Linked DNA regions of Tamandua tetradactyla. The protein of the gene in region 1 purifies or fractionates together with the protein of each later gene. This does not show direct contact. Links are inferred from orthologs where the notes say so. Each region holds a gene or a part of one and is shown on either strand. Other genes may lie near its edges.

What was found.
Region 2: the proteins of KPNA2 (region 1) and PHF10 purify together in Homo sapiens (co-immunoprecipitation; 3 studies listed by BioGRID and IntAct, with this or other methods). This does not show direct contact. The link is inferred for Tamandua tetradactyla from reciprocal best matches to the Homo sapiens genes KPNA2 and PHF10.
Region 3: the proteins of KPNA2 (region 1) and PRMT1 fractionate together in Homo sapiens (co-fractionation; 3 studies listed by BioGRID, with this or other methods). This does not show direct contact. The link is inferred for Tamandua tetradactyla from reciprocal best matches to the Homo sapiens genes KPNA2 and PRMT1.
Region 4: the proteins of KPNA2 (region 1) and CHD8 purify together in Homo sapiens (affinity purification with mass spectrometry; 4 studies listed by BioGRID and IntAct, with this or other methods). This does not show direct contact. The link is inferred for Tamandua tetradactyla from reciprocal best matches to the Homo sapiens genes KPNA2 and CHD8.

The regions. Positions count from the first base shown.
Region 1 is NC_135332.1:6,063,382-6,071,303, forward strand, and holds the start of KPNA2 (importin subunit alpha-1), read right to left. Parts: upstream 3,343-7,922; 5' UTR 3,235-3,342; intron 1-3,234.
Region 2 is NC_135337.1:73,934,803-73,943,187, reverse strand, and holds the start of PHF10 (PHD finger protein 10), read left to right. Parts: upstream 1-5,188; 5' UTR 5,189-5,203; coding exon 5,204-5,296; intron 5,297-6,337; exon of another isoform or gene 6,338-6,347; coding exon of another isoform or gene 6,348-6,440; intron 6,441-8,385. UniProt on the Homo sapiens protein: Involved in transcription activity regulation by chromatin remodeling. Belongs to the neural progenitors-specific chromatin remodeling complex (npBAF complex) and is required for the proliferation of neural progenitors.
Region 3 is NC_135342.1:11,469,213-11,476,928, forward strand, and holds the start of PRMT1 (protein arginine N-methyltransferase 1), read right to left. Parts: upstream 3,378-7,716; 5' UTR 3,363-3,377; coding exon 3,132-3,362; intron 2,823-3,131; coding exon 2,667-2,822; intron 2,517-2,666; coding exon 2,453-2,516; intron 696-2,452; coding exon 553-695; intron 1-552. UniProt on the Homo sapiens protein: Arginine methyltransferase that methylates (mono and asymmetric dimethylation) the guanidino nitrogens of arginyl residues present in proteins such as ESR1, histone H2, H3 and H4, FMR1, ILF3, HNRNPA1, HNRNPD, NFATC2IP, SUPT5H, TAF15, EWS, HABP4, SERBP1, RBM15, FOXO1, CHTOP, MAP3K5/ASK1, MICU1 and NPRL2.
Region 4 is NC_135340.1:35,007,162-35,015,133, forward strand, and holds the start of CHD8 (chromodomain-helicase-DNA-binding protein 8), read left to right. Parts: upstream 1-4,563; coding exon 4,564-5,418; intron 5,419-6,301; coding exon 6,302-6,673; intron 6,674-7,972. UniProt on the Homo sapiens protein: ATP-dependent chromatin-remodeling factor, it slides nucleosomes along DNA; nucleosome sliding requires ATP. Acts as a transcription repressor by remodeling chromatin structure and recruiting histone H1 to target genes.

The DNA.
Region 1 (7,922 bases):
TAGAAAACTTTTCACCATTTTCTGAGCGTGTCTTTCCCAACACACTCGGAAAAGGCACATCATATGTGTGTGCGGTTGGACGGATGCTCACAAACTGCACACACCTGTGTAGCCAGCCCCCGGCTCAAGAAACGGGACACTGCTCCGGGCAGAAATTCCCCCTCGGGTGCCCCTTCAGTCACTCTCTCTGCACGGCATTGATCAGTTGTGCCTGTTTCTGTGCTTGGTTACTTTGGGATATTAATTTTTTTATTCTGTTTAATTTGATCATGTAAAAATTATCTTGACGCATACAGGGAAGCCCAATATGTTCTTCTATTAAGTTTCTATATTTATTTTGCATAATCGCCTCTGTAGATATACCTGTAGCATTTGTCCTTCAAAATGCAATATTGTTTATTTTTATATCCCATTTTCTTTCTCCAGCAGCACACACATCAAGACTTTTTAAATCAACATTCACTTATCACCAAATGATTTTTCTGCCTGTTTTAGAATGACTTTTGTGTGGCGGTGTTTATTTTATTAAACAATTTTTATATCTGCCTTGGGATAATACGATTAAAATTTGCCCCTCCCCATCAAACCATGCAATCATTATAGAACTGTTTGCATAAGAGAATAAAAGAAGACAGCAGAGAAGGAAAGTTGTGGGGTTTTTTGTTTTGTTTTTTTTTAGGACAGATAGTGCCCTCTGTTTTAAAAGACCTTTTTGGCCCTCTGAAAAATACGGTCTTGCGGAATATGTCATATGCTTAGAAGTTAGGGCATCTTCATTTGGAAGTACAGGAACAAGCTATAATCATTGGCCAACTTTTTTTTTCTAAGTTTCTGCCTGTTTTATTATTCAGAACGTGTTATTCTCTGTTGGATTCCAAAAAGTAGCGAACCCTGTTCAAGGGATGATATCATCTATTAGGTTGAAAATACATGAAAGTGGGGACAAAATTGTCAGTGAAACAAAGTTTTGAAAATCTCTGTCAGAGGCCATTAGGAAATGGGGCATCTTATCAAAAATCGTGCCCGCCTTGTGGCTAGCATGTACAAAGATCTAGAGGCTGCATAGAAGGAAGATTAAGGCTGAAATTTTGTGTTTTCTCAGGTAAGGCATTTGGAGCATAATTTTTGTTCCCAGTGACAATGCCACCAACACTGGCCATGAGCCTACTTCTTTCTTCTTTTCTTAATGCAATTTTATTGATATCTATTCACATAATCTACAGTCATCCAAAGTGTACAATCAGTGTTTCACAGTATTATCATATGGTTGTACATTCATTACAATTTTCTTCTAACTTTTTAGCTGTATAGTGTAACATATATACAAAGCAAAGAAAGAAAAAAGCAGTAGTTTTCAAAGCACTCTTCAACAAGTAGTCGCAGAACCAATCCCAGAGTTTGTCGTGGGCTACCATATCATCCTCTCAGATTTTTCCTTCTAGTTGCTCCAGAATATAGGAGGTTAGAAGGCATAAATACTTTTTTTCTCATCACATTCGACTTTTTTTGTGTGTGAAAAATAGCATATATACAAAAAAGCAATAAATTTCAAAGCACACCACCACAATTAGTTGCAGAACATATTTCGGAGTTTGGCGTGGGTTACAATTCTACAATTTTAAGTTTTAACTTCTAGCTTCTCTAAGATACTGGAGACTAAAAGAGATATCAATTTAGTGATTCAGCAATCATATTTATTTGTTAAACCCTACCTTCTCTGTATAAGTCTATCATCACCTTTGATCTTTCTATCCCTCTCTTTAGGGGTATTTGGGCTATGGTCATCCTAACTTTTTCATCTTGGAAGGGTCTGTCACTAATATAGGGTAGGAAGATAGAACTATCTGAGGTTCTGGAGACGCTGGGAACTCTAGGTTTCAGGACTTATCTGGAGGCTAAAGGTTTCTGGAAAGTTACTCTAGTGCGTAGCATTACCACAATTTTTGAACATTTTCATTATTCCCCCCAAAATACATGTAAAATAAAATAAAAATAAAAATGATAAAGAACACCCAAAATAATCCCATGCCCCTTACCACCCCCATTATTATTTATTGTCAGTGTTCTTGCCTGCTGAGCCACCGCGGCCCGCCCTATCCTTATTTTTTTTATTCATACAATAAGGAAGGAGTATCAGCCACAAGGTTTTCACAATCATATGGTCACACTGTAAAAATGATATAATTATATAGCCGTGTTCACGAATCAAGGCTAATGGGTTACGTTCCACAGTTACAGTTCTTTCCTTCTAGCTATTCTAATACGATCCCCCTTCTTTCTTTCTCTTCTCCCCTCTTGATGGAACCTTTCTATTTTACTGTCTTTTTCAGAAGCAGAATAGCAAAACAGTAGTTATGAATGAAGATTTTCAGCTTTGTTTCTTATGAGCTGTGCAAGCCACGCGTGCAAGCCATGTAACCTCTCAGTATTCACTTCACCATCTTTAAATTTGAATTCATAATGATGCCTACCTCATGGGGTTATTGTAGGGTGAAATGAGTTATTACATTTAAAGGACTTAGTTCAGGGCCTGGAATACTATAAATACTCCTGATATCTTAACTGCAGATATTAATAAATAACACATAATCAATAACATATTAATTATGTTATACTGTCATTAATAGTAATATTCTTATTTTACTTAGAAAATATTCTAATTGGAGATATATTACTGCTCACCCCAAATGCCAAATCTTTCGGGATTTTAATTTTTGAAGCCTTGGATAAATACAAGCACTAATCAGTATTACATTAATCCAGACTTTCACAACTCACTTAAGCATGCCAAAAAACATCCGAGTCAGTATCACAATACACTATTAGTATTCAGAATTGTCCTGCTTTAAATTATATGATATTCCTGTTACAAAGGACAGAGCAAAGTTGCAACTTTTCTCCCCTCCTCTCAGAAATCCCACAAAGGACACAAGGAGGGTGAGAAGCAGAACCACAAACATCATCTTCAGTGAAAGTAAGAGACACCAGAAACTCCTCAAATAAAAGGAGAAGGAGCCACCCAAATCAGTGAGGGAGCAACAGGCGGAGGGGATTGGGAGGGAGGCTGCCTGTGGCTGCAGGTCTTAGAACAGGCCAGCAGAGGGCGGCGCTGAGAGGTGCGGGCCACACCCGGAGAGGCGGAACAATGCTCCCTTGTTTGCAGTGATGAGACTCCAGTGGGTGGAGAGAGCCTCGGCTCACCGGGCCAGACCCGGGTTCTGGGTATGAACTTGCCTTCCTTGCCTGCAGAACTTGCCAGCAGACTTAGATGATGCCTTCCCTCTCCCCATGTCCCTCCCACATGTGACCGTGGGACATGTGACAGTGAAAGGTTGACCGCGGGCCCTTGTCCACGTATTCCACTGATCTGACCCTGACCGTGTGCCCCGTCACCTAGAAGCAGCTGCCTTGGTGCCAGCAGGGTGTGGCCTGCTGCAGGCTCAGGTACGGGGCCAGCTGGGAAAGAACAGCCTGTGAGGTTGGGATTTCTGGCCGTTGAGATGCAGAATATGCCGTAAACCAGCTGCCAGGAGGCAGGGGTCCAAGAACCAAGGAAAGGAGGGAGGAGTGTCCCCTCCCTCTTCTACCTCTAATTTGCTGGAAGAATTTTTGTTTTCCTGGCCAGTGACCTGGGACTCAGTGGTTCTAGGTCTCCCTGGTGCCTTAGAGAGAATTGCTTAGAGGGGGAAGCATCATGACGGTTCCATGGCACTGGAAGCTGAGGTCGTTTGGGGCTCCACTGAATTAGTAGGCAGAGAAGGGGGTCACTGGACTTGCCTCTGTGGTTGATGTGGTTATGGGGGGGGGGGAACAGGCACTGTTACTGCATGAAGGAAGGAGGGGGTGTCTAGAACCCAGGATTCACTGGGACACCTCTTAGTACTCCTTTGCCAGAAAGATCTGGTTAATGGAAAAGTATAGCATACAGTAAAGTTGCTATACTTTATTGGGGTCATAAAGACATGACCCCAATATCCTATGAGAATCAATTTTTGGTTACGCCACCAAGCAAAGAATCGTGCCCAGCTGAGGGTAAGGGGACATGGAATTAGTGATAGAAGAAGGCAACTCAGACTTGGCAGCCATTAGAAAAGGGGGCCTCTAATAGCTGTGATTTATATTAATGGTTCTTTTCCCTTCCTTTTTCTTCCTACCTAATATAAAGAGAACTGGCAGTGGCTGATGTTTCGGTGTTACGTAATTACTTGCTATATAATCTTTGGCAAGTTATTTAACTTCTCTGTGGTTCAGTTACTCATTTGAAAAACAGGGATGATAAAACTGGATAGCTCATATGTTGTTGTAGAGATTTAATACTTAGAATAGTGCCTGATACAGAGTAAGTTCTCGATATATTTAAGTATTATTTCAGTCATCGTTACTTCTACACTAGATGTCTTTTTGCATTTCATTGTCACTTAGGCAAGGAAGTCCCCAGAAAAATTTCCCAGTTTTTATTATACGGTAGTCTTAAAATTTGGAAGTATAAATTTCAAAAAAAGTCAAAATCAATATATAAGATTTGTTTGCCATAGTAGTTAGTATGTCATAACAGGAAGACATCCAAATGAATGATAGAAACACCAGATTCAGGATAGTTATCATCTCTGGAAAGCAAAGTAAGTTGAAGGACTTCAGCTATGTATTAATTATCTGTTGCTACATAACAAATTACCCCCTGTAGTGGTTTAAAGCTTCTAAATACCCCAGAAAATGTCATATTCTTTATATTTGCATATATATATATGTATTTTTTTAAATTGAGAAATATTCATACACATATATTCCATACATGGTGGACAATCAGTGGCTCACAATATCATCACATAGTTGTATATTCATCACCATGATCATTTTTTAGAACATTTGCATCTCGCCAGGAAAAGAATTAAAAGGAAAAAGAAAAAAGTCATACATACCATACCCCTTACCCCTCCCTCTCACTGAGCACTAGTATTTCCATCTATCCAATTTATTTTAACCTTTGACCCCCCTATTATTTATTTTTTATCCGTATTTATCTGTCTACACCCTGGATAAAAGCATCAGACACAAATTTTTCACAATCACACAGTCACTTTGGAAACATTATATCTTTATACAATCGTCTTCAAGAATCTAGGCTACTGGAACACAGCTCACCAGTTTCGGGTACTTCCCTCCAACCATTTCAACACACCATAAACTAAAGGATTATCTATATAATGTGTAAGAATAACCTCCAGGATGACCTCTCGATTATTTGAAACCTCTCAGCCACTGAAACTTTATCTTGTCTCATTTCTCTCTTCCCCCTTTTGGTCAAGAAGGCTTTCTCAATCCTTTGATGCTGGGTTCTAGCTTGTCCCTGGACTTCTGACCCACATTGCCAGGGAGGTTCACACCCCTGTTGAGTCATATCCCACATAGAAGGGAGGGCAGTGAGTTCACCTGCCGAGTTGGCTTAGAGAGAGAGCCCACATCTGAACAACAAAAGAGGTTCTCTGGGGGTGACTCTTAGGCTTAATTTTAAGTAGTCTTAGCCCATCCTTTGCATGATTAAGTTTCATAGAGGTGAACCCCAAGATTGAGGGTTTGGCCTATAGATTTGGTGGTCCACACTGCTAGCAAGAATATCAGAAATTCTCCAAATTGGGAAGATTGAATATATCCTCCTTTCTCCCTATTCCCCCAAGGGGACATCACAAATACTTCTTTATTCTGCCTAAATTACTCTGTGATATATTGGGACATCACACGAACCAGGACAAACCAAAAAAACTCACACCCTATTCAAGATTCCATGTAGGAAATGGGCTACCCAAAGTATAATTTTTGCACCAAATAAGCATCTCTCCCTTTAGTCTCACAGAGAAGTTGAAGTTTTAAAATATGGATGATAACATCCTTTACCCAGTCTTCTGATATACATTAGTCCAGATCAGCTTCATTCAAATCTCTACACAATCTGATCACTTTTTCATCTTTTTAAACAGTTCTGGTATGGAGTACTGCTGACTTTCGTAGCTTTAGAGTTCTAACTAACAGTCTCAGGTGTCACATAAATACCTGAAGTTCTTGGGAATGACCAGGTTATATACAAACAGCTCAGTATCACAGAATCTAGAACTAACAGTGACCCCTCCTGCATATATGTGACTGCTGTAAGAGCTTACAATCTAGGAGCCTTTACAATAGGCCCCGACCTGATAAACCAAGTTCTTGACTTTAGTTCACCAAGTTTTTATATTATCGTTAGTCCATATGATGGAGGCATGATGATATTTGTCTTTTTGTTCCAGACATTTCATTCAACAGACAGTCCTTAAAGTTCATTCATCTAGTTGCATGCCTAGATGAGTCACAACTTCATTCATTCTTGTAGCCGGTCAGTAGTCTAATGTATGTCTACACCATAGTTCCCCCTTCCATCCCTCAGTCCTTGTAGCCTTAGGCCACCTCCATCCATTGTGGATCCGGAACACTGCCACCATAAACACCAGTGCGCAAATGTCCATTCGTGTCCCCACACTCACTTCCTACAGGTATATACTGAGCAATGGGTTTCAGGGTCATATGGCAACCCCACCCCTAGCCTCCTGTGGCACCACCACACTGCCCTCCAAGGGGCTGCACCTCTCGGTTTCCCTACGAACAGTGAATAGGTACATCTCTTTCTCTGCATTTTCTCTGGCACTTGTTTCTCTCTGTTCATTTTTAAACAGTTTTATTTACACATCATACAATCCACCCTAAGTATATAGTCATGCCTTTGCCACCATAATCTATATGAAGCCATTTCCTTTTCTTCCACAAAGAATCCATACTGCTCCCTGATGCCCCTTGCCTGTTGACATTTAGTTTTGGCAAAATGCCTCTGTTACATTCAATGGAAGCAATTGCAATGTTACTGTTGACTATAGATCCTAGCTTGCATTGATTGTGCTTTTTCCCATATACCATCTATTTTCAACACCCTGCAATAATGACAGTCAGTTGTTCTCCCTCATGCAAAAATGTTTTTTTATTTGTACATTCAATCACCATCATTGTCCATTCTAGGCATTCCTAAATTATACCATCTCAGTCTTTATCCTCTATCTTTCCTTCTTTCATATGTGCCCCCAGCCCTTTTCCCTCTATCATACTTACATTCAGCTTCATTCAGTGTAGTTATATTACTGTGCTACCATCAGATAATATTGTGCTACCCATTTCTGAATTTTTTACAATTAGTCATGTTGCACAATCTTTATTCCTTCAGCACCAATTGCCCAATCTTTATTCTATTTCTATCTTCTGATAACCTGTGTTCTTAACTTCAATTCTCCAAGTTCACTCATTAATGTTTATATGAGTGAGACCACACAATATTTGTCCTTATTTTCTGGTTAATTTCACTCAGCATAATGTCCTCAAGGTCAGTCCATGTTGTTACATGTTGTCATGGTCAGGTTCATGTGTCAACTTGGCCAGGTGGTAGTACCTGTTTGTCTGGTTGGGCAAGTACTGGCCTGTCTGTTGCTATGAGGACATTTCATAGAATTAAATCATGATCACACCGGCTGCATCCACAGCTGATTCCATTTGTAATAAGCCAAGAGGAGTGTCTTCTGCAATGAGTGATGCTCAGTCTAATCACTGGGAGCCTTTTAAGGAGGATTCAGAAGAGACAGGCTCTTCCTGCTTCAGCTGGCGAGCCTCTCCTGTGGAGTTCGTCCAGACCCTCCATTGGAATCGTCAGCTTCACAGCCTGCCCTGCAGATTTTGGACTCTGTGTTCCCACAGTCATGTGAGACACTGTTATAAATTTTATATCTGTGAATGTTCCCTGTTGATTCTGTTTCTCTAGAGAACCCTAGCTAATACACAGGCTTATGACTTTATTCTCTCTTCCAACTGCATAATAGTCCATTGTATGTATATACCACAGATTGTTTAGC
Region 2 (8,385 bases), on another chromosome or scaffold:
AATGAGCTGAGACTCAGCATCAAGGGATTGAGAAAAACCCTAGAATGAGCTGAGATTTAGCATCAAGGAATTGAGAAAACCTTCTTGACCAAAAGGGGGAAGAGTGAAAGGAGACAAAGTGTCAATGGCTGAGAGATTCCAAACAGAGTCGAGAGGTTATCCTGGAGGTTATTCTTATGCATTAAATGGATATCACCGTGTTATTCAAGATGTAATGGAGAGGCTGGAGGGAACCGCCTGAAAATGTAGAGCTGTGTTCTAGTAGCCATGTTTCTTGAAGATGATTGAATAATGATATAGCTTTTGTTACAATGTGACTGTGTGATTGTGAAAACCTTGTGTCTGATGCTCCTTTTATCTACCTATCTACCTTGTCAACAAACGAGTAGAACATATGGAATAAAAATAAATAATAGGGGAACAAATGCTAAAATAAATTTAGTTTGAAATGCTAGTGATCAGTGAAAGCAAGGGGTAAGGGGTATGGTAGGTATAATCTTTTTTTTTCTTTTCTATTTTCATTTTATTTCTTTTTCTATTGTCTTTTTATTTCTTTTTCTGAATTAATGCAAATGTTCTAAGAAATGATGAATATGCAACTAAATGATGATATTGTGAATTACTAATTATATATGTTAATGTTTTATTTGGTTTGTTAATTTTTTATTAATAAATAAATTAAAAAAACTTTTAATTGAAAACAAACAAACAAAAAACTGATGGAGTATCATCTTGGGAGCATAACTTGAGTTATGACACTCTCTGCCCTTCTAGTTCTTGGTTGCCTTTTGGATTAAATACAGATTTTTCTGCCTACACTTAAGGTTCCAAATTCTACATAATATAATAATAAATACCATTTTCTGAGGCTTAATGGATCTTAATAGATATCATACACATCCCTAATCATAGCAACAATTCTCACTACCACCCCTGCCTCTAACCTCACTTCTGCTCCATGTTGGGTTATATACTCTCCTCTGTACTCAAATATTATCTCACGAAAATTTGTATAACTATGTCCTCCCCTCCTGCCCCCCAGATACCCACTGAAGAGGACAGGCCCAGTATCACCTCTTCCCACCTTTCCTTCCCCTACAAAGGCTATTATGGCTGTACCTGCTGTCCTAGAACCCTTTCCCTGCTCCACCTCACTATCAGCCTATATAAAAGGGGTGCATACACCCTGAAGACACCTTACTGTCAAACTAAATATTCTGGTCCATAACTTCAGAACTGATTTTCTGCTGTCCTCTAAGAACCATGACGATCAATAATAGCAAATGCCACATAAATGTTTTCTTCAGCCACTATCACAAATCCAAACACCCTGTGATCAGACTCTGCTTCTCTAAGCCCGGGTCCTCTGGCATGGCAGGCAAGCGTTCTTGCCTGCTGAGCTACCGTGGCCTGCCCTTCTCTGAGCTTTTTATGGTGGCTTATGGAACCTTCTTTATGTGGTTCAGCAAACTCCTCTAGATGCCCAGCCTCTCTTGTATTCTGAGTTTCTTTCCTTAGCAACAACCTGATTGTTATGAAGGGTCCCAATGCAGCCTTCCCGAGTGAACGCTGTAGTTCCTCATGCCTTAAAACCAGAAGGCAGGTAGGCAACTCTTTTGACCTTGAAAAACTTTGAAATTTTATGTTATTAAGAGAGTTGAAAATGACTGAAGCAAAGCTAAGACAGGACAAGACCTAGGCCTGCATGAAATTATTATAGGAATAATACAGAAAAAGTCCTACAAATCTATAAATATAAAATAAGATAAGCTGCTTCAACAACTTCTGGTTTAAATTTCTCTAGGAAAAGAAAGCCATTTATTATTAAAAATGGAGCATTTCTTCTACTGTGGATTGAAGAATGTAATAAAAACAACAAAAACCCCCAATCAGTTTGGCTAGCATTCAGGCCAAAGTGTTGAATTTAGTTGAAACATTGGAAGAAAATGGTAATTGCAAAGAGACTGAATTTCTTTTACTGCCAATAAAGACTGATTTCATTGTATCAGAAGTTGAGATGAATTGTTTAATTTTAAGCCCTCTGGTAAAGCTGCTATGTGGATAAGGATGTTGCTGGATATGTCTCCCCAGATTCCACAGATTATTTAAAGCAGGTGGTTGTCTCAGAGGAAGTGCTGCTGGTTAAAAAAAGAAAAGAAAGAAAGAAAGAAAAAAAGAAAAGAAAACTTCACATCAAAGAACCCTTCGAGATATTTCATGACACTGAGAATGCAAAGGATAAAACGTTGGAAGCTTATCCAAATTTAGAAAGGAGTATGATAGTTTGTCAAGGCATAGAAAAGATACTCATCATATCATAAGTTACAGATTGAGAAGAAGGCAAGCACAGTTTGAACTACTCTTGATCAGTTTTTTAAATAAAGAAATAAAACAATTCTGTTTCTAATATTTCAGATTGCAGTATACTAAATATTAGTTTATTTTTTCATTCCCTATACCTTTATAATCAGCAGAGCATTTTTAAGGTTTTGACAGTAAATTTTTAAGGCCACAGAACAATTTTCCTCGATGATCAATATTCTCTTGGCACTGTATCAATTTACATGGCCATTTTTATAGTCCTGGACTAGCATGCAAAGCTAGGATTTCCTAGCTTCGATTCCTTGACCGACTCACCTTCAGTGACCTTTTTCTTCACTCCCCTTTGGTCATCTATTTCTTGGTTTACATGCTAGACGTTTTTATCACTGATATTAATATGACCTCTACAATCTTAATTTTAAGTATGTTATTGTCACACAATTATCTCTTGTCCTTCCAGCTCACCACCTTCATTCTCATTGACATGCCCAATTCATTGGCCTATTTCACTGTTTAATATCCTTTTTGTTTGTTTGTCCTTTTTCAGCTTAGATTCCATGGCCCATATTTATAATCACTTCCTTATACACACACTCCAAATTCTTTTGTCCTTCCTCAATAAGGGAAATCTATTCCTAGATATATGCCATTTTATCTTTTTCCAAGCCTACATCCAAGCAGCTAAAGTTGGCTGAGAATATCTCAACCAGGCTGAGGGATTTCACTTTAAATCCCATGACCACAAACATCAAAGGGTCAAGCCACACTGCCTGGCATCCTAGAAAATTTGCTTTCCCACTCTCTGAGACACTCTTTTGCATGATCTCTCTCCTCAAATCTCCTATATGCCTCTCCACTACTCACTTTCAGTTGAAGCCTCAGCTCATTAAGATAAGGGAAGCTATCAGAGGTTCCACCACCCTATGAACCTACTTGCATCTGCAGCAACATTCTCTGTCTTCCTTCCAGTAACAGAATGGATGACTAGTGCTTCTCCTATCAAAGGCTTGTCCCAGCACTTGTGTTCTGGATGATCCTATTCCTTCTTGCCTTCTCAAGAGTTGCCTTCTGTAAACTATCTCTTCTCTCTTGCACCAAGACTTTCCCCTTTATGTTGAGTCATTCTTGTCAGCTATGAATTTTCTCCCATCTTAAAAAACACAAAAAACAACACCTCTCCAGCTAACCCTTTCTCTATGGCTCTTGACAATAAAACTTTACAGAAGAATTACCTGTATTCTGGCTCCAATTTCTAGCCTCCCATTCATTCTCCAGTCGATTTCAGCCCAGCTTCTGTCACCACCTCGCTACTCAAACAACTCATGTCAAGATTGCTAATGACCTCAAGTTGATCAAATCACTGGACATTTCTCTGTCCTCATCTTATTCAACTTCTCAGATGATACACATAGCTGACCAGCTCCACTTTCTGAAGTATTTATCTTCTTTGCTTCCAAGACCCCACACTCTGTTTTCTTCCTCCTCCTTCTCTATTTAACTTCCACAAGGATCTCTGGCCTCCTTTGGCTTGGATCTTCTTCAAACCTCAATTTACATATTCTCTCTATGTGGTCTTCTGGAGTTTTATGGCTGTTTTTCTTCTTCACCACTGTATTGTCAGTGTATAACTCAGGGCCTAACTTAGTGAACAATAAGGAAGTATTTGATGTATTAATGAATAATTGTTTCCTTACATCCCATCACCCAACCCAGTTCATAGTGTGCCATAAAATATTTGTGGAATAACTGAATGGGTGTTATTATTCTTATCTGAAAAATGAGGAAATGGCGGGTCAGAGGCATTAGGTAATTTACCTATGATCACACAACAAATAGCCGGGATTTAAACCAGTCTTAACTCTAAATTGCTTATTTTCTCCATTACATCGTAATGCCTCTTTGTATATTTCATCTCAAATTCCTAGAACCCTCCTTCATTTACTCTATTCTCTAGCCAAACTAGAATAACTGATGGTACCTTGAGTATGCCTCATATTTGCTGATCTCTCAACTTTTTCTGGGTTTAGAACCCTCATTTTCACTTCCAACTGAACATATTACTATTGAGTTGAAGTCTTACCTATTTCTTGATACTTTAAAAATTCTATCTTGACTTTTAAATCTTAATTCTTCTAATTGCAATTAAATTTTCTCCCACCTGAGTGGCCTTTAACAACAATTGCCTCATATTCTTTTAGTGTTGAGGCAGCACATGGTCAGGGCCTGTCACCATACGGTGCCTTCTTAACCCTGTCTACCTTGAACACCGAAGGCCAGATCACTATCTGCTGACTTGGAATGAGATGTTTTAAATTTGCATTTCATCTAGAGATAGACTAGCCAAGGAAGAAGAGTACAACTAAATAACTGAATATTAACTTTTTTATTGTATAGTATAACATATAAAAGAAGCGACCTAGTGAACCCTGAGAAGTTGGATTAACACTAAATTCAAATACAACAGCTGCCATTTTCTTGGCGCTTCCTCTGTGCACTTCACAAACCCGATTGTATTGCCCCTATTTTACAAATCAGCAAATTTGGCCTAAATGCCCGGTCCCAAGCAGGAGGCAGCGCCAACGTGAAGGCCAGCATGGATCGAGGCTCCTGGAGCACAACGTGGTGACAGGACCCTGTAAGGAGTTCTCCCCGCAGCTGTGTCCCAGGGCCGGGTGCGGCGTTCCACTGCAACTCCCGATCCCCGGACCCCGTGGGCGTTTTCCCGGCAGCTACGGGTCCACTGGCCCTGTGCGGCTTCCTCCCCTCAGCTCCGGGTCCCCGGACCCCGCGGGCGTTCTCCTGGCAGCTCCGGGCCCTCCTCCCGCGTTCGCTAACACGGCCGCGGCGGCGGTGCACACCACATCTGTGAACACACAAAAGCATGTGCAAGCAGTGGAATTTCAGCTACTTTGACATTTTACGGTTTTTGACTTGCCTTGGGTTCCATGTGGAAAGACTTTTTGATGAAAGGAAGGTAAAGACTGAATCGGAAAGCACACATTCAGTGGGATGTGATTCTGTGGTCCGACGTGCACGTGGAGCTTGGCGGCGATGAGGACGCGAGTGGAGAACAAAGGCAGGGCCGAAGACCCGGGCGAGGGCCATTCCCGCGCCGCGGCGGAACCCGGCGCACGCCTGGAAAAGCGCGTGGGGGGCGGCAGAGCCCAGACTCGGGGGCGCTCCAGAAGGGGCAGGCGCCAGAACCCCCGAGCGTGAGCGCAGAAGGCCCCGGGGGCGGGAGGCTGCCTGGGGCGCGGGAGGCGGTGAGTGCAGCGGCGAGGACACGGGGAGGGGTTCGGGGCCGACCGAGGGGTCTCCGCGAGGCCGGGATTCTGCCGGAAACCTGGGGTCTTTTGGGGCCGGGGGCGGGCGTCTTTGGCAGGCCGGGAGGTCTTTGGGAAGCCGGAGGGTCTTTTGGAGGTCGGCGCTCTGCTGGAGACCGAGGGGGTCTTTGGGAGGCCGGGGGGGTCTTTGGGAGGCCCGGGGTCTTTGGGGAGCTAGGAGTCTGTAGGAGGCCGGGGGGTCGATCGGTAGCCGGGGTCTGCTGGAGGCGGAGGAGACCCCGCGGAGTGGGCGGCGCGGAGAGGTGGGAGCCAGGCGAGCGAGCGGGGCGGGGGCGGGGGCGGGGCGCGGCGCGGGCTGCGGGCGCGGAGAGGAGCGGTGGGAGGAGAGGGCTGACGTGAGGAGGGGGCCGAGCTGCGCGCTCTCCATTCCGCTCCGGCGCCGCGCCGCGCCTCTGCGCTGCCCTCCGCTCCTCCGCGCCGGCCGCGGCGGCCGCGGCGGCCGCAGCGCTGGCGGCGACCATGGCCGTGTCGGTGGCCGCGCCGAGCCGCGGGGCGCGCGGCGGCGGGGCGGCCCGGGGCGGCGGCAGAGGCCGGCCTCCGGGAGGCGGCGGCGGGCGGGCGGAGGGGGCGGGGCCCGGGGAGCGGACGCCGCGGCGGCCTCTCCGCGCGGCGGCGGCGGCCGCGGCCAGGACTAGGCGGCGGCGGCGGCGGCGGCGGCGCGGGGGGCTGGGGCTCGGGCTGATGGCGGCGGCGGCGGCGGCGGTCCCCGGGACGGTGCTCTCCCCGCGGCTGGGCGACGGCGACGCGGCCATCCCCGGAGCGCCGTCCCCGAAGGTGAGGAGTGGCGGGGCCCGCGAAGGTCGGACGGGGAGGGGGGCCCCAGGGCCGGTCCCAACGGCGGTCTGGCCGTGCGCGTCCTGGCGGCCGGGGTCTCAGAGAGTCAGGAGGTGTCAGAACCGGGGGCCCAGGGATTTGGGGGTTGTTGTCAGGGATCTCAGGGCTGGGGTCCTCAGAGCCGGGGGTCCTCAGAGAGCCTTGGGGCCTCAGAGCTGGGGTTCTCGGAGAGCCGGGGCCTCAGAGTAAGAGGGTCCTCAGGGAACTGAGGGGTCTCAGGGCCAGGGTCCTCGGGGAGCCGGGGCCTCAGAGTAGGCGATTCTTAGGGAGCCGGGGCCTCAGAGTAAGCGGGTCCTCGGGGAGCCGGGGGGGGGGGGGGGCTCAGGGCCGGTGCCCTTCAGAGGCGGGGAGTCCACGGAGCGGCCCCCGAGGGTTTGAGGTCCCGAGCCCCTTCCCGCCTCGGAGAAGCAGGAGGAAGTGCGTCGCCGGCAGCTCTGAATACAAGTCCCGCCTCCGCCCCAGGCTCGGGCGGGGTCCCCGTCCACTCATTTGGGGGTACTTTCCCGGCTTGTGTCGCGGCTCCGGGCCGGAAGGCCGCGTGACCTCGACCCGGTAAAGACGAAGAGACTTTCGCGGCGGTGGGCTCGGCCTGACCCTTGGTGACCTTCCCCGCTTGGTGGGCTCGGCCTAGCCTCGTGACTCCCCCGCGGGGTGGGCTCGGCCTGACCCTTGGTGACCTTCCCCGCGGGAAGCCGGAGGAAAGCCAGGAGGAAGGAGAAGGGGTTTGTGTGTGAGGAGACTGAGCCGCTTCCCAGACTAATGGAAGGAAAATTCTACTTTTGTGTAGAAATAAAACTTTCCTCGTAAATGGGGAGAGTTTTTCCATATTAGCTTAGGATAGTATAGGTATATTTGGAAAGAATTCATTTGACAAATATTCCAAAATACTTGAGCTTTTATTAAAAAATGATTGTAAACAACTATAAAAAAGCCAGACAGTTCAGTTAGTAAACTTAGTAGAACTAAATTAGTAATAATAGCCATTCTAATATTTCTAGTGAAATGTTTTCACTTTTGTAGTTTGTATTGTTTTCATTACAGTTAAAAGGACTTAGAATTTTGAAGTAAAAGATGAGTGGAGAAAAATTTGGATGAACTGTACGATGTCATGAGTTTTTTCATTTTGTTTTTTTAATTTATTACAGTGTCATTAATTTGAACACTTGTGTTTCTAGAGTTTGTATAGTCGATTGTGACAGTGTTACAAGGGAGGAATGATTTTTAAAAATCTCAAAATTTAATTCAGAATTTAAGAGTTGGAATTAGAAGATGCTGAAAGAGAAACAAAGCCTAAGCGCCTCTCTTTCCCCCAGGAAGCAGAGCTGTGGGAGCCTGGTTTGCAGGGCAGGTAGGCCTGCGTGTCCCACCGGGGCAAGTAACTGGACCACATGCCTTTCTCAGCCTGTTGGGTGTGGGGGCTGCTCCCAGCACCTGGGGTGTACAGTGTGCCTCCTGGAGGCATGTCCCCAGGTGGGCACACAGAAGCCTTCACTCTGGAGGAGGGAACCACCTGTGACTCTGAAACACAAAGGTCTGCATTAAGTACATTTCGGAGTCTTTATTATTTTTTTATTTAGGTCTTGTCTTTCTTTTTTTTTAATTTTAATTTTTGATCATTCGGTTCTACATATATAATCAGTAATTCACAATATCATCACATAGTTGCATATTCATCATCATGATTATTTCTTGGAACATTAGCATCTGTTCAGAAAAAGAAATAAAACGAAAACAGAAAAAAAAAATTTATACATTTTTTTTACATGTATATTATACATACATACCCCTTACCCCTCCCTTTCATTGATCACTAGCATTTCAAACTAAATTTATTTTAATATTAGTTTCCCTAATTATTTATTTTTATTCCATATGTTCTACTCGT
Region 3 (7,716 bases), on another chromosome or scaffold:
GGGGACACGGAGGCCTTGGCACCCCTCGTGGGACGCTCATAATCCATGCCCTTTCTCCACCCCTTTTCCCTCCTCTGGTCTGAGCCACCGGGGCCTCATCCCCACACAGCCACCAGAGGGTGCCTGTGAACACCCTAGCCCCAGCCTGTCCTTCCAGAACCTTCCCGGGCTCCTCTGTGTGTAGCGGCAGTCTCACACAGCTGCACACCCCCCTTCCGCCAGCCTCGCCTCCTCCCAGGCTCCAGATCTTCACTCTACTCTGGCCTCCTTGGGGCTCAACGTGCAGCCTCACCCCTGCCCCAGAACCCTTGCCCTGAGTATTTCCTTCACTTGGAATGCTCTTCCCCCAGCTCCACCTGGCTCCTTCCCATCCATCCCCCAAGCCCTTCACCTCCTGGGGAGGCCTGCTCGGCCCTGGGCCCCAAAACTGCCACCTCCCAGTCCCTCCGCGTCCCTCAGGCCTGCTGCTTTCCTCCAGCATTAACGCCCTCCTGCCAATGTCATTCAGTTCTGTCCACTGTCCGCTGCCCGCCATAGCCGCAGGGCCCTCACCAGCCACTTGTCGCGGGCATAGAGCACAGTGTTGAGCATGGACTCGTAGAAGAGGCAGTAGCCCATCCACTCGCTGATGACGATGTCCACCTTCTCCACCGGCAGCTCCACCTCCTCCACTTTGCCTTTGATGATGGTCACCACTGCAGGAGGGGGCGGCCATCAGCCCCCCGAGGCCCCTCCCTAGGTACCATGGGGGCGGGACTGGGGCACTGTCCAAGAACCCTTTGCTCTGAAGCCAGAGCTTGCTAACTGTGCCTTGAGATTCACCCATCACTCTGGTCCCTCTGAGTCCTACACGTTGTTGAAGCAGTTGCAGAAATTTCCCACAGACCGGCCAGCAGACAGTAAGGTTATATTATTATGGGATATGTTATGGGAAACATGTAACAAACGAGTCACGGTGTGGTTATGCTTCTCAAAAGGCCCGATCTACTAGAGACATACACAGGATTTACAGGTGAGCCGAGGTCACAGCTGGGATTTATTTCAGCATGAAGCTGAGAGATGGGGTCCTACACTCGTCTCTTTAGAAAAAAAGAAAACCACTCCGGTTCTTAGAATGCTGCAAGCCCTCACACTCAGCAAACCTACTGCTTTCCAATGTTTCCTGCATGCTCAGCCTTGCCACTGGGAATGCAAGTGGAATGGCCACCAAAAGCAATTTGGCAACATCTACCAACTTACTAATTCACATTTTAAAATAAATGTGGAATGACAAGATGTTCAGGGGACAGAAATTTCAGAAGTGGCTCACACGCCCATGAACAGGGTTAAAAAAGGTGAGGTGTGTGCAGAACGGCAGTCACAAAACAAAAGGACACTTCTCAGCATCCGCAAGCTTGTTAAAACTAGACATGAACAGGTGCAAAAAAAAAAAAGACAGGAAACAGTTTGGCAATTCCAAAAAACATTAGACCAAGAAATCTCCTATGACACAACAATGCCGCTCCTATGTATATACCCCTAAAGAAGTGACTGCCGGGATTCGGGCACATATTTGCACACCACTGTTCATTGCAGCATTATCCATAGTAGCCAAAAGGTGGAGGCAACCCAAGTTCCATCAACAGATGGACAAATGGGGAGCTTTCCATCCATACAACTGAATATTATTCAGCTATAAAAAGGAATGAAGTACAGATACATGTGAGATGGGCTGCGGAGGCAGTCCAGACACAAAAGGACCAACACCTTGATTCCATATATATGAAATCTCTAAAGCCATCGAATTCATAGAGACAGAAAGCAAATCAGAGGTTACCAGGGTCCAGGGGAGAAGTGAAAGGGGAGTGACTGCTTAATGGGCAGAGGGTTGTTTGGGGTGATGGGAAAGTTCTGGAAATATATAGTGGTGATGGCTGCCCAATGCTGTGACTACGCCCAATGCCGCTGAATGGTACACTTAAAAAGAAAATTAAATTGTCATTTTTCATGACATATATTTTACTACAATAAACGAAGTGATAAAGAGTAAAAGCTGAATGAGATGAGATCTGTGTGAAAACTATGTTCATTTGCCCACAAACATTTACATATATATTTCCTTGTGGGTTCAGATTTTGCTGGAAGGTAATAGATAAACTCAGAGAAGGGTAGCTGAGGGACAGACGGGAGACGCCTCACTCAGCACGACTCTCAGACTTAGTCAGGAGATGAGAGACTGCTCCTTGCCCTAACACTAAGACTGAAGCGCTAATGAGCTCGCCACTCAAAGCCGGCACCACACTCCCGCTGCCAGCGGTCACGGGTTCTCAGCCCGATGCCAGCCCAGAAGGCCCCAGGGAAGGGACGGCTGCCCATGTGCCCCATCAGTGGCCCCCACCCCCTGGCTGAGGCCCTAGGGAATCTGAGAGTCACCCACTGCGTCCCCACCAGTCCGCTTTCCTCCTGGGCTCACCGTGGTCTAACTTGTTGGCTTTGACAATCTTCACGGCATAGTCAGAGATGCTGGAACACTCGATCTGGGGTCCAGGAAGAAGGGAGGGTGAGGCCCCCCCATCCCCCACCTCCCACCCCCCCTCGGCCCCCCCAGGCCCTCCCGTCCCCCAGGCCCCCCCTCGTCCCCTGCCCCAACAGGCCCCCCCCAACCCCCTGCCCGCCCTCCGACTCACCCCGATAACCTTGCGGGCCCCGGCCTTGGCAGCGAACATGCAGAGGATCCCCGTGCCTGAGCCCACGTCCAGCACCACCTTGTCCTTGAACAGGTGCCGGTTGTGGAACATGGAGTTACGGTAGGTGAGGGTGCGCACCTCGTCCTTCAGCATTTCCTGGGGGAGGCGGGGCACAAAGACGCCATGAGGGGACCCGTGTGCAAAACGGGGTGGCCTGGCCTCCAACACGCTGACGGTTTGGAGAGCCCAACCGTAGCCCTCCCACGTGTTAGTCCCCGTGGAATAAGACCTTTCTGTCCATTTCAGTCACTGTTCGTAAAACCAGGTGTAATGGATCAAACTCTCATTTTAGCTGAATTTGACCACCTAAGCCTCAGCCATCTTTGGCTTTAAAATGACTTCAGTTAATGTAAAAAAAAAAAAAAAGAGTCCCCCCACCAAACTAGCCCAGCTGTGCTCTGGGACCTCCACATCCTCAATCTGCAAACGGGAATGAGCAGCTGGAGTTGCAGTCCCACCAGTAGTCACGAGAGGGCGGCAGAGACCAGCAGGCCCAGAACTGGGCTGAAGTCTTGGGCACGCATGCGCGCTTCCACGCTTCCACCCTAGTTTCCCTAACGCGGCCCCACTCCGGGCTAACTTCGGTGTCCAAGGCAACCGCCAGGAGAGGCCCCCAGTTCCCGCGAGGCCTCGCATGCGCAGACCAGCGGCACGGGGACAGGGAAGACTGCACGCATGCGTGGGAAAGGAAGCCTCGCCCCTCCCGGGCATTGACCCGCGTGGGATTCACCCTCCTTAGAAGCTGTCCACGCTCACCTCGTGGATGCCGAAGTGCGCGTAGGAGTCGAAGTAGTAATCTTTGGATGTCATGTCCTCAGCGTTGGGTTTCTCACTGCTTTCTGCTTGGCCGCAGGAGACCTGGGAGGAGGTGGATGGGAGCATGGGTCAAATCTGGGGGCTCCCACGGCCTCTTCGACTTCCAGGTTCCTATTTCTCCCTAGGGTAGAGAGCTCCCCTCCCCTCACACCAGTCTTACCAGGGCGACCCTAGAGCCCCCGCCTGCCATCCTGCCTCCCCCAGGAACCCCAAACCCTAGCACCCCCATTTTTCTCTTCCAAGACCCCCCCCAGCACCATCCAGGATACCTCAGCCACGCCTACCATCTCTCCGTCTCTCTGCCCCCGTCTCTAGCTCAGCCCACAGCTGGGGAGGGGAGGGGAAGGCAGAAGTGGGGCAGACACAGGGGAGGGCCAAGGGGGGCTGGAAGTGGAGTTAAGGAAGTAGCCACAATATGGGAGGAGGCCAGCCGGGGGCCACCAACCTGGAGGGAAGTGTACTAAGGGTTTGGAGGGCACAGGGTAACCTGGTTTGAAGCCAAAGGGATCATGGTTAGAAGCACGGGAAAAGGTCTAATGTGTGGCAGGATGTATTTATATGGAGGTGGGAAGGGGGTCTCACAAAAGGATATTTACTTCTTCAAGAGGCGGCTGGAGGCTCATCCCATTAGCCAAGGTGGCTACAAAATTCTAGGAGAGAGTAACAGGGAGAAAGGATTAGCTAATGGGAGTGGTAGGGGGAGGGCCAGGCCAGGGGTGGGGACTGGGCACCAGGGCTCCGGGTGGAGTGGGGGTTCTTGCTATTTTCCTTTTCCTTGGTGGGGAGAGGTGGCAGAAGTAACAAGTTAAGAGGGAGGGCTGTTTAAGAAATGGGAGGGGGAGGTAGGGGGAAAGCAAAGGGGTTCTCCTGTCCCAGCTGTGGCTGGAGAGATGGCAGCCCATCCCTTCACTGCCCCTCACTAGTCAGACATCTGCCTACACACCTCCCCCATCCATGCCAAAGGACCTGGCACCGCCGGGCACACAGGCACTGCCAGCTGTCACTCCCCGCATCTAATCCCCCAGATTAGGTGACACCTTCTGACACACACCCCCACCCCAAGGTACCAGGAATAGCTGCGGGGGGGGGGGGGATGCTGGCAGGGTGTGCCCACTGGGCAACAGCCCCCTCTGCAAAACAATCTCTCATCTGAGAGGATTCCAGAAAGGAGGTGTGGCACATGGGCACTTGTGACAGAGCCAAACAAAACCAGTTGGAAGGAACCCTCCCCCCTTTTTAGCCTCTCCCCAAGCAGGTAGTGTCCCAGGGGACAGGGCCAGATTCAGGGGACTCCAGGCTAGGGCCCGGGGCGTCTGAGCCCTTCTCTCCGGTTCAGACACCCATCTCAGTTCTGAACCCCCCACCCCCCAGGTAAAGCAAGCTCTGGGGGAGATATGCCTCCCCTCCTCCTTGGCTACCTCCTGGGTCTGGGTTGTATGGGGAAAAGAAATGAGTGGCCCCCGGGGCGCTGCTTGCCATGGACATGCATCTCGGGCCCTGATCCCACACTCCAGGGATGGCTATATGCAGTGAGAGGTGGGGGTATGGGAGCACCATCAGACAACATCTCTTCCACATGTGACCACCCTGCAGGCTCCAGGAAAGACACAGCCACAGGCCATAATACCTTGGGCCCCGAATCTTAAGCCCTCTCTGAAACCTGTGAGAAGGGCAGCTGGAGTGGGGATTTCCTGTTGGGGCCCATTTCCCGAAACCACTGATCCCACCACCACCAGACAGCCCCAGCAGGCTGGAAACACGGCCATGGCACCACACGTTCACACAAGAATCAAGTATCCATGGAAATCACTTCCTGAATCCAGGCTGGAGACATACACACGGGGGCTTAGGAGAAGAGGCAGGTCGTCTCCCACCTCACAGATGCCCCAAGGAGCGAAAGGGCACCAGTGGAGGGCAAACGCTCGGAGCCTATATCCTCAAAAGACCCCCTTCTCAACAGACACACTCCCCCCGACCCCCACCTAGCCCGGGCAAGCACTAAGGGGGAGGTGGACTTGGAGACACGCCCCATGAAAAAGAGATCCCGCCCACAACCAGAAATGGCCACAAGGGGGTGCAAGGGGCCTTATCGGGAATGATCTCCTCCATCGAGACGCACCCCCACCCACGGGGAGGTCACAGGGGCATGCCCCATCCCCCCCCAGTTCATAAAGCCCCAGGCGGGGTAGAGTCCAGGCACAGGAAGCGAATGCGGTGGGGGACCAACTCTTCGTTTTCCTCCAACCGCAAGCAAGAGGACTCAAAACCTGAAACGACGCCCCAGCAGATGCCCCCGGACCTGGGGGAGGGGGGAAAGTGAAGGGTCGGGTAGCACGGCCCCACCCAAGAGATCCCCTACATCGCGGAAGGCCCTAAGGTAGGTTCTGTTTGGGTCCCGGGATCCGGCGAGGGGGTGCTGGGGGCCCCAAGGCAGGGTCGGAGCCTCCTCTCCACCCCCCCGGAGCGCCCCTCCCCCGGCCGGGGGCGGGGCCTTTGTCCCGCACGTGGAACCCGCGGGGCCACCGGGCACGGCACACCCCCTCCCCATCCACGGCCACGTGGGGGCCCGGCCGGAAGCGCCCCCAGCCCTCATCCACGTGGGATGGGGGGGTGAAACCCTCGACTCGGCGGTGCCGCAGGTCCCGGAAAGCTCTGGAGCCCCCCCCCCCCATCAGGCGGTGCCCTCGGATCCCGGGCATGCGCCCCCCTCCCGTCCCGCTGAGCGCCTCCAGCTCCAACCCGCCGACTCGGAGTCCCTTCCCCACGACCGAGGCATAAGGCACCGACCCCCAGGCTTCCCTCGGCCCCGGCGGCGCGCCAGACGCTCACCTCCATGATGCAGTTCGCGGCCTCGGCTGCCGCCATCTTCGCCCGCACCTACTCCTCCTCCGGCCGCCGAGACCCCCCCCTTTCTCCGCGCTCCCCCGGGATCGCCTTATACCGGAGGGGCCACGGCCCGCCCACAGCAACTCGGTCAGGAGATCTCATTGGCAGTGGAGGCGGCCGATCCGGGAATGCCGTTTGGCAATTGGGTGGAATAGACGCCTATCAAGGCTGAAGGGCCCTCCCAAGTTGGCGTGCAAGGCCCCGCCCCCTCAAGTCGTCCGGGATGGGGAAGACTGTCCGTCCATCCCAAGAAGAGCGAGCGGTGATTGGGCAGAGTCAACCAGGAGTTCCCGCCCAGTTCCTCCCCCTCCCATTAAGTGCCGTCTCAAAGCTTCCCGGCAGGCCCTGCGCTAAGCGGACATCTTAAAAGAGATCTGTCCGTCACCAAGACTGCCCGCAACTTGATCGCTGCCATTGGTTTGGACGAAAGGTGACGTCACGAGGCTTTAAGCCGCCTCTTGTGGGCTGGAGAGACCTCAAGGAGAGCAAGGCGATTGGCCCCCGACGGAGGAGGGTAGAATTGTGAGCTCCGGTGATCGGCTTAAAGGAACTGTCACTCGTCTTGTCTTCGGAGGATTTTCCCACCCCAGGAGAAATCAGGAGGACTGAGGGAGCCGCTGCCCGTTTGCCTAAGGGAAACACTGAAGCAGTGGGAAGCTCAGAGAGAGGGTAGAGTTGTCTGGGGTCCCCTAACAAGTTAAGAGTAGGGCTCAGACGCCAAAGCATTTAACCCCTAGGCCTTTATTTAAGTGTTCCAATTTTTAACCGCCTCAACCCCCCATCAAGGTTCTTGGCCTTTGCCCAAGCCCTGCCTTCAGGCGGGAACACCGCCTCCCTTTGGCAGAATCCTAGACGTCACCTCCTCCAAGAAGCCTTCCTGGACGTGCAAGAAAAATTACTCGTTTAAGATAGGTAAAAAGGACTGAATTCGTGAACCCCGTCTCTCCTGGCTTCTATCCCCCTACCTTCTTCAATCCTAACTTCTCTCCAATCCCTTAACGTGCAGGATGTAATATCTCCGGGCCTCTGCAAAGAATAGACGTCCTGGCATGCACTCCCCCTTAGCGAACTCCTCCCCGCTGAGATTTCCACCATTTCCTGGTTAGTAACAGTCCGTCTCCACGACACTCTTGAGCTGTGTCACCCCCTACAGCCGCCCTTCTTCCGGGGTCCCCGAAGAGGGACTTCCCACCCACCCCCACTTTGGGAGGAGTGCCCCCAGCGCCCCCACTGTGCTGCGCTATTGTGCAGAGCCTTCTTCCCTTGCTTGCGGGACTGACTTTTCCTC
Region 4 (7,972 bases), on another chromosome or scaffold:
TAGATCTCCAAAAATCCAAGAAGAGTTACATTAGAGGTTATAAAGTTGTAAAAAATGTTGGTTTATACTTAGGTTGAGGGGCTCTCTTTGTAAAAGATTAGGAGTAGTTAGTTACCATTTAAGAAGGAGATGGGATGAAGGGCTATTATTGGCCTATATAGAGAGAATTTCTCTGACTGGTTAGTTGGAGTTTATAGATAAGTGGCCTTGAATTTTAAGTTTGACTGTTTTTTTCCATTTCCCCCCCATTCCCAAAATTTTCATCATGAGTCTGGTCATTATGGTTTGCAGTTATGGACAGTGACTAAAGTACAACTACTAAACTGTAGCTTTCCTTTTGAACACCTGTTTCTCTTTGGGGCAGTGGTAGGCCAAGTCCAGCTTCTCATTCTCCATATAATAAAAGCCTGTATGACTTCTTTATCCCAGCAGTTTCTTTACTCGGGGATAGATAAGTGCTTCATATATCATGGAACACGTGAACTTGGTAGAATAGGCTAGATGTAGATACAGTTGGGATGACCCACAAGTAGGAATGGAAGGAGGGTAAAGAAAATTGGAGATATGTTGGGGAGGTTTCATCTAGTGAGACTCAATAACAGCTTAAAGATATAGACGGCTAGAATAAAAAAATATATAAAATGAGACGATTTGGGTCAGTAGAGGTGACTTAATGGGGTGGGACTGAGAAGTAATGATATTTGGTGATGTGGCATTAAATTGGTATAGAAGTTTTTGAATGTTTGAGCCCTAGACTGAACTAGGAGAAGTAAAGGTTTGGTTCAGAATTAGGAAGGGAGAGAGAAATGGTAATGCATTGATTTATAAAAGCGTCTGAAAAAAATTCTCAGAAACTGAGAATTTATCCTATTAAAAAATGATGTCTCATGGAATGATTTCTAAATGTTGTGTTAGTTAATTTTTTTTTAATAAAAAAAAATGATGTCTCTGCCTAGGTTGGGCTATTATGGAAGGAAGGAGTACGTTAAGTATAATAAATAGTAGGAATTGTAGAAAGGACAAAGTACTCCATGGGAAAAAAAATGACACATTATAAACTATACCAATATAAACAGTCTTGTTAGTGGGGACTGTCTTTGTATATTTTTGTGACAGCTGAGAGTGAATAGGAGATGAAAGATAATAGGTGGCAAAGTAGAACATAACTGGAAAAAGTTGATAATGTTGACTTGAGAAAATTTGTAACATTATCTAGTGGGTTTTCATTAAATCAAAATACGTCTATACCTTCTCGGATCTCCATTCTGAGTAAATTTAGGGCAAGTATCATTTAATAGAGGCTGGAATAAGCTGGTAGAAGAGTTTAGCCAGAAGTGATATAGGTCCCAGGTGAGAGTTGAAGGATATACAGTTACTGAAGCAAAGACGATCTTATTTAACATTGGTGGAGATGCCATATTAATTTTGTAATTTTAATCAGTGCACCAACTACTGATGAGTCTATTCTTTCTGACAACTTCAGAGTTTCTGGAATATTATCCCACATTATATTGTTTTATAAGGATAACTGGAATAGGTTGAAGATGGAAAAAATAGAGCTTGTCAGTCATTTGGAAAAGTCTTCCAGTGAAGTCTGTACTGTCCTGCTGGCAAATTTCTTGTCTGGTGCCTTCTAAAAACTAAGAGAAGTGGTCTGCTGGATTGTCAAACATTGACATCATACACAAAGACTAAATATTGCTTTTTCGTGTATTTTAATTATGTGGTTATATATTTACAATTCCTTGTCTTAGGTAATTTTTCCTTTTCCGATAATTTCATGAACTTAAAATCCTAGACATGGATTTAGTAACTACACGTTCAGCCATTTGTAGGATAGTATTTTTTTTTATTGTAGCATAGAACATACATACAAAAAAGCAATAATTTCCAAGTACATTTTAACAAGTAGTTACAGAACAGATTTTAAAGGTTGGTATGGTTATAATTTCATGATTTTTCATTTTTTCTTCTAGCTACTCCAAGACACTAGAGACAGAAATATCAATATAATAATTCAGCAGTTCTACTCCTTTGTTAAATCCCATCTTCTCTGTTATATTCATCCTTCCCTTTAAATAATATATATGCATAAAGCAGTAAATTTCAAAGTACATTGCAACAGTTAGTTGTAGAACAGATTTCAGAGTTTGGTATAGGTTACAATTCCACAATTTTGGGTTTTTAATTTCTAGCTGCTCTAAGGTACTGGAGGCTAAAAGAAATATGATTCAGCAGTCATAATCATTTGTTATATACGGCCTTCTCTGTATAACTCCACCATCATTTGATCTTTGATCTTTCTATCCCATTCTTTAGGGGTATTTGGGCTTTGCCCATTTTAACTTTTTCATGTTGGAAGGGGCTGTCTGTAATATGGGATGGGGGATGGAACTAGTTGATGTTCTGGAGAGGCTGACCCCTCTGCATTTCAGGACTTACCTGGTCCAAGGACCCATCTGGAGGTTGTAGGTTTTGGAGAGTTACCCTTGTGCATGGAACCTTTGTAGAATCTTATATAATGCCCTAGGTATTCTTTAGGATTGGCAGGAATGGTTTTGGTTGGGGTTTGGCAAGTTATGATAGGTAGCATTATCTAACTGAAGCATGAGTAAGAGTGACATCCAGTGTAGCCTCTTGACTCTATTTGTACTCTCTCAGCCACTGATACCTTATTTTTTACACCCTCTTTTTGTCAGAATGGCATTGTTGATCCCACAGTGCCAGGGCTAGGATCATCCCTGGGATGTAGGAAAGATAGGAAGCTTTCTACTGTCTCATCTTAAAATCAAGAAATATTACTTAGTTTCTCTGAGGACTGAATACTCTCACAGATACTGCAAGCAAATATTTTAATTCATTGAATATTCTTTTGGTAGTTTCTGTGTGTGTCATACCCTACTGGTTGCTTAGAGAGCCATCGATAAAAAAGTCATGATCCCTACCATCCAAGAGTTCCCTTTCTCATGGGAAAAGAAGAACAAGGCTGTCAGGCTACCATGCAGGATTGTGCAGGAATGCATTGCACACATTCATAATCATCAATTTATATGTTCAGTATGACAGTTTTCCAGCAGGTGGCAGAAAAGCATTTTCAAGAGCAGGCAATTTTAAAAAATTTGTGCAAAGGAATCATTTGGACCTTAATAGAATATAGACAAGAATGCAAGTCATTTTAGTAAAATATTAAATCTGAGTGCCTTAAATAAGGTGTATACAGTGCTTTGGGTATCTAAGGAGGTGAAGGGATCACATCATCACAAATTGCTTAGTTGTTAAAGGGTCAGAGACCAGGGCTTACTTTATGGAAAGAAGGCCTTTGAGAGGTGGGTAGGATTTCAGCTGCGAGAGATGTTAGGGGTACAAAGGAGTGGGAGTTCCCAGGCATAAGCTACAGTATAATAGGCAAAGTCACAGAGATAGTAATCACATTCAGGAAACTATATGGTCTAATGGGACTGGAATTTAGGATGTATATTATGGGAAATGGTGAGAGAAAAAAATTGGGAATTTAAATTGGAACCAAAGTGTAGAAAGCCTTGAATTCTTTACAGAGGAAGTTTTTGATCTCAAGTAGAAAGATTTCTTAGAGAAAGGGGACTTTACAGCAGAAATGCTATATATAGATTAATTGATATGTTAGTTAGAATAAAGTCTGAAAAAGTCCCTCGGTAAAATCATAGTATAAGCTTGGTAAGATTGTACTATGAGATTTGTTGAAGGTGGTTATTTTTGCCAGTAGGAAGCAATGTTATCTGAAATATAAGAAAAATTTATAAGATAGAATATAAAATATCCTTTTATAAGAATATAGATAAGAATGTAGAAATCCTTATCCACATTCACTGAAATCCTGGTGATATATGGTTTTCAGTTTTGCCAACTCAGAAACGGAAAATAAAAGGTGAATGAAGATTAAATTTACTGATCTCTGCCTAAGAATTATAATTTTTAAAGGAATGGACAGAGGCAGTTGAATACTCTTGGCACCCAGGAGTTTAAAAGTATGTAGGTATAAGTTGCACAGTTGGTTCAGTGGTATAATGCTCGCCTGCCATGGGGGAGACCCAGGTTTTAGTCCCAACCCATGTATCCAAAAAACAAAAAAAAGTGTAGGTGTTTAACAGCCCCCAAACGGGGTTAGTTTGACTTTTCTTTTTTAGTTTTCTTTTTGAAACAGAAATGTGGGTGTTCTTTCCGTTGTGCCTCTATCCTCAGATTCTCACATTTGCCTCATCTCTTGTTTTATTATTTTGATGCTGTTTGCTAATAAGGTTAATACCTAAGAAGAAGAAATTTTCTCTGAGGTCACCAACTTTGTTTATCTTTGATTTGTATTCCCACAACAGGAATTTCATCATCTTCCTCTGAAGACCTAGCCATCTCTTGCTCCATGAAGGTCAGGACAATCTGACATGCACTTGTTTGTTGCCTCTTTACCTGAAGAGTAGTCCTCTTCCACTGTGTACATTTTTTTCTTAATAGGGGAGGGGAGGGGAGAGCCATTACCCCCCCTCCCCTTCCCTCCTTAGACCTTGGGGAATATTCCATTGCTTTCCCAAGATGGCAGACCCCATCATGGATCTGTTTGATGACCCGAATTTATTTGGCCTGGACTCTCTGACTGATGACAGCTTCACCCAGGTCACACAAGATCCCATTGAGGAAGCCCTTGGACTGCCAAGCTCCCTGGACTCCTTGGATCAGATGAACCAGGATGGTGGAGGTGGTGATGTGGGGAATTCTTCAGCAAGTGACCTGGTCCCACCATCAGAGGAAACAGTACCCACAGAACTTCCCAAAGAATCAACAGCTCCAGCTCCAGAATCCTTAACATTGCATGATTATACCACTCAGCCCGCCAGCCAAGAGCAGCCAGTACAACCTGTCTTACAGACATCAACGCCAACATCGGGACTTTTGCAGGTCTCCAAGAGCCAGGAGATACTGAGCCAAGGGAATCCTTTCATGGGTGTCTCTGCCACAGCTGTCTCATCAGCTGTCTCCTCCAGTAGTGCTGGAGGACAACCACCTCAGTCAGCCCCTAAGATTGTTATCCTTAAGGCCCCTCCAAGCTCCTCAGTCACTGGTGCCCATGTGGCACAAATTCAGGCCCAAGGTATCACCAGCACAGCTCAGCCCTTGGTGGCTGGCACAGCCAATGGTGGAAAAGTCACTTTTACCAAAGTGCTAACCGGCACTCCCCTTCGACCAGGTGTTTCCATTGTCTCTGGTAATACAGTGTTGGCCGCCAAGGTCCCTGGGAACCAGGCTACTGTGCAGCGCATTGTCCAGCCCAGCCGACCAGTAAAGCAGCTGGTCCTACAACCAGTTAAGGGTTCAGCTCCTGCTGGAAACCCTGGGGCCACAGGGCCCCCTCTGAAGCCTGCAGTTACACTGACCTCTACACCTACCCAGGTGACTTGAGTGAAAGGGGGAGGTAACTTTTGGTTTAGTAAAAGCCAGGCAACTGTGAGAGAGAGCACATATTATCAGTTAGTGTTGACAGTCACATGCTTATTACTTGCTAGGTGGGGACAGTTAGTGTTGACATATTTTTTGAGCTCTTACTATGTGTTTATACCATATCCATATACTACATGTTTATACTATACATATACTACATATTTATACTACATGTTTATACCGTGCCTAGCTGGTGCCAAATAAGACAGACACAGTCCCTGTCCTAACAGAGCTCACAGTCTGCTGGGGAAGACAGACATTAACCAAGAATTGACAATAATGTATGATATAAAGTTTTATGATATAAGAAATACAGGATGCTATGGGAACAAAGAATCATTTTTGAAGAATATATTTATATTGCAAGACTTATGGAAGCTATGTATCTCTTTCTCTTGTTCTTACTACTAAAATTGTCTCCCTTCTGCTCTGTCCAGTGAAAAGACTAGCTCTATTATAAGAAAGTAGATGCTCCATCCTCTCAATAAAGGGCTAAAGGAAATTAAGCAGTACTGAGACCAGTGGAAATCTACAAGAAGGCCAGATTTCATCATTATAAGGAGTTTTATTCTAATAGATTTCTAAAAATGAATGGCATTTCATTTCAAAAACATAAGAAGTTTTTAAAAAAATAGGCTTGCTATTCACTGAGCAGATATGTTTTAATAGAAAAGATTGTATCAGGATTACGTAGGAGGATGAACAAAATGAATTGTATTATGTCGTCTGATCCAGGATTTTTGTGATTTTAGGAGAGAAAGACTGGTAAATTGTTATAGGTGTACTATTCTTTCTAATATTGTACCTTTCTTGGAATTTCCTTTCTTTATTCTAGGGTGAATCCAAACGCATCACCCTGGTCCTCCAGCAGCCACAGTCTGGAGGTCCCCAAGGACACCGGCATGTCGTGTTAGGGAGTCTCCCAGGCAAGATCGTATTACAGGGCAATCAGCTGGCAGCCCTGACTCAAGCCAAGAATGCCCAGGGGCAGCCTGCCAAAGTAGTAACTATCCAGCTGCAGGTGCAGCAGCCACAGCAAAAAATCCAGATTGTACCACAGCCTCCATCATCGCAACCACAGCCCCAGCAGACACCTTCAACCCAGCCAATGACTCTGTCCTCTGTACAGCAGGCACAGATAATGGGACCAGGACAAAGCCCAGGACAAAGACTTTCAGTACCACTCAAGGTGGTGCTACAGCCACAGGTGAGGTTCACACAGTTAAGAAGGAAAACAGACCTCTAAGTCCCTTGCTTTTGCCTTCAGGCAACCACTTATTGTTAATGTGAACCCAATCTAGATTTAAATTTCTGATCTGAGATGCAGACTTTTATTTCTTTGTCTCACAGAAATCTTGTTTTAATTATATCATGCAAAGATTAGATAAACTTATTGTTAGGCTTGGGTATAAATGATTATCTAGTTTTGTCTTTGAGCTATTTTGTATATTTTTACAGTCTTTTTCTAATAACGTTCTTGTGAAATAAAAAAAAATTGAAATATTCACTCATCTGAAGGATAAGAAAACAGTCTTCAAGTGGTTAAGTAATTATCACTCCTCTCATCTCCCAAAGAAGTAAAAGTATGCCAAGAGTGGAATTTGAATTTTTTACTTCTAGCCCAGAGACCAGTATTGGTTGTATTAATTATAATTTGCCTAGAATAATGGAGATGGGTATTGATATTAAGAGCATGGCTAAAGGATATCGAAGTCTGATTTCATGAAATTCTTGTCTTTTCTCACCCTCTCCCCATCCCAAAAAAGTTTATTAATGTATCTAGGTTCAGTAAGACTTTGTTTGAGACTTGTTCTGGAGAAACTTTAGAATTGAAGTTACTAGCCTACCTGTGTCAGAACTGAACTTTCTTTAGACCATTTAGCTATAGGGGTGTTTTTTTGATGCAGTATTTTTTTAATGAATGAATGAAAGCGTGGCTAAGATTTCCCTCTGTAATGGGCACTGTCGATGTTCCACACTACCTTGCAGTCACTGCTGTTGCCTGCCTAGAATGATTGAAATAAAGATTTACAATACTTAAAAAACAAACAAAAAAAAACCCATTGAAGAAGTAATCTTTTTTTTTTCCCCAATTGAAAGGGGCATTTCTTAAATACACATGAATGCCAATGTAGGCTTTGCTAAGAAATAACAATTTAGTCTATAATGAATTAAGCACAGATTTCCCCTGGGAGCAGAATCATGTTAAATCTCTAAAATTTTGCAGGAAATAAACTACTGAATGGCCATCTTCTTTTCTTCAAGATAATATTACCTTTTAATTAAATGGGAAATGCATAAACATATTCTTCTTGTAAAAAAAAAAAGTAAATGTTACAAATACAAACATACACATGCATATACACATTGAAAACAAAGTATTGGTTTTGTTTGGGTTACAAAAATGGTTTTTCAGGTTACTTTTTTCCCTCACTTTTTAAAAAATGTTGTTTTTGCCCCCACTTTTAAAAACATTTTAGAGCTCTGTTTATATCATTTAAATCTC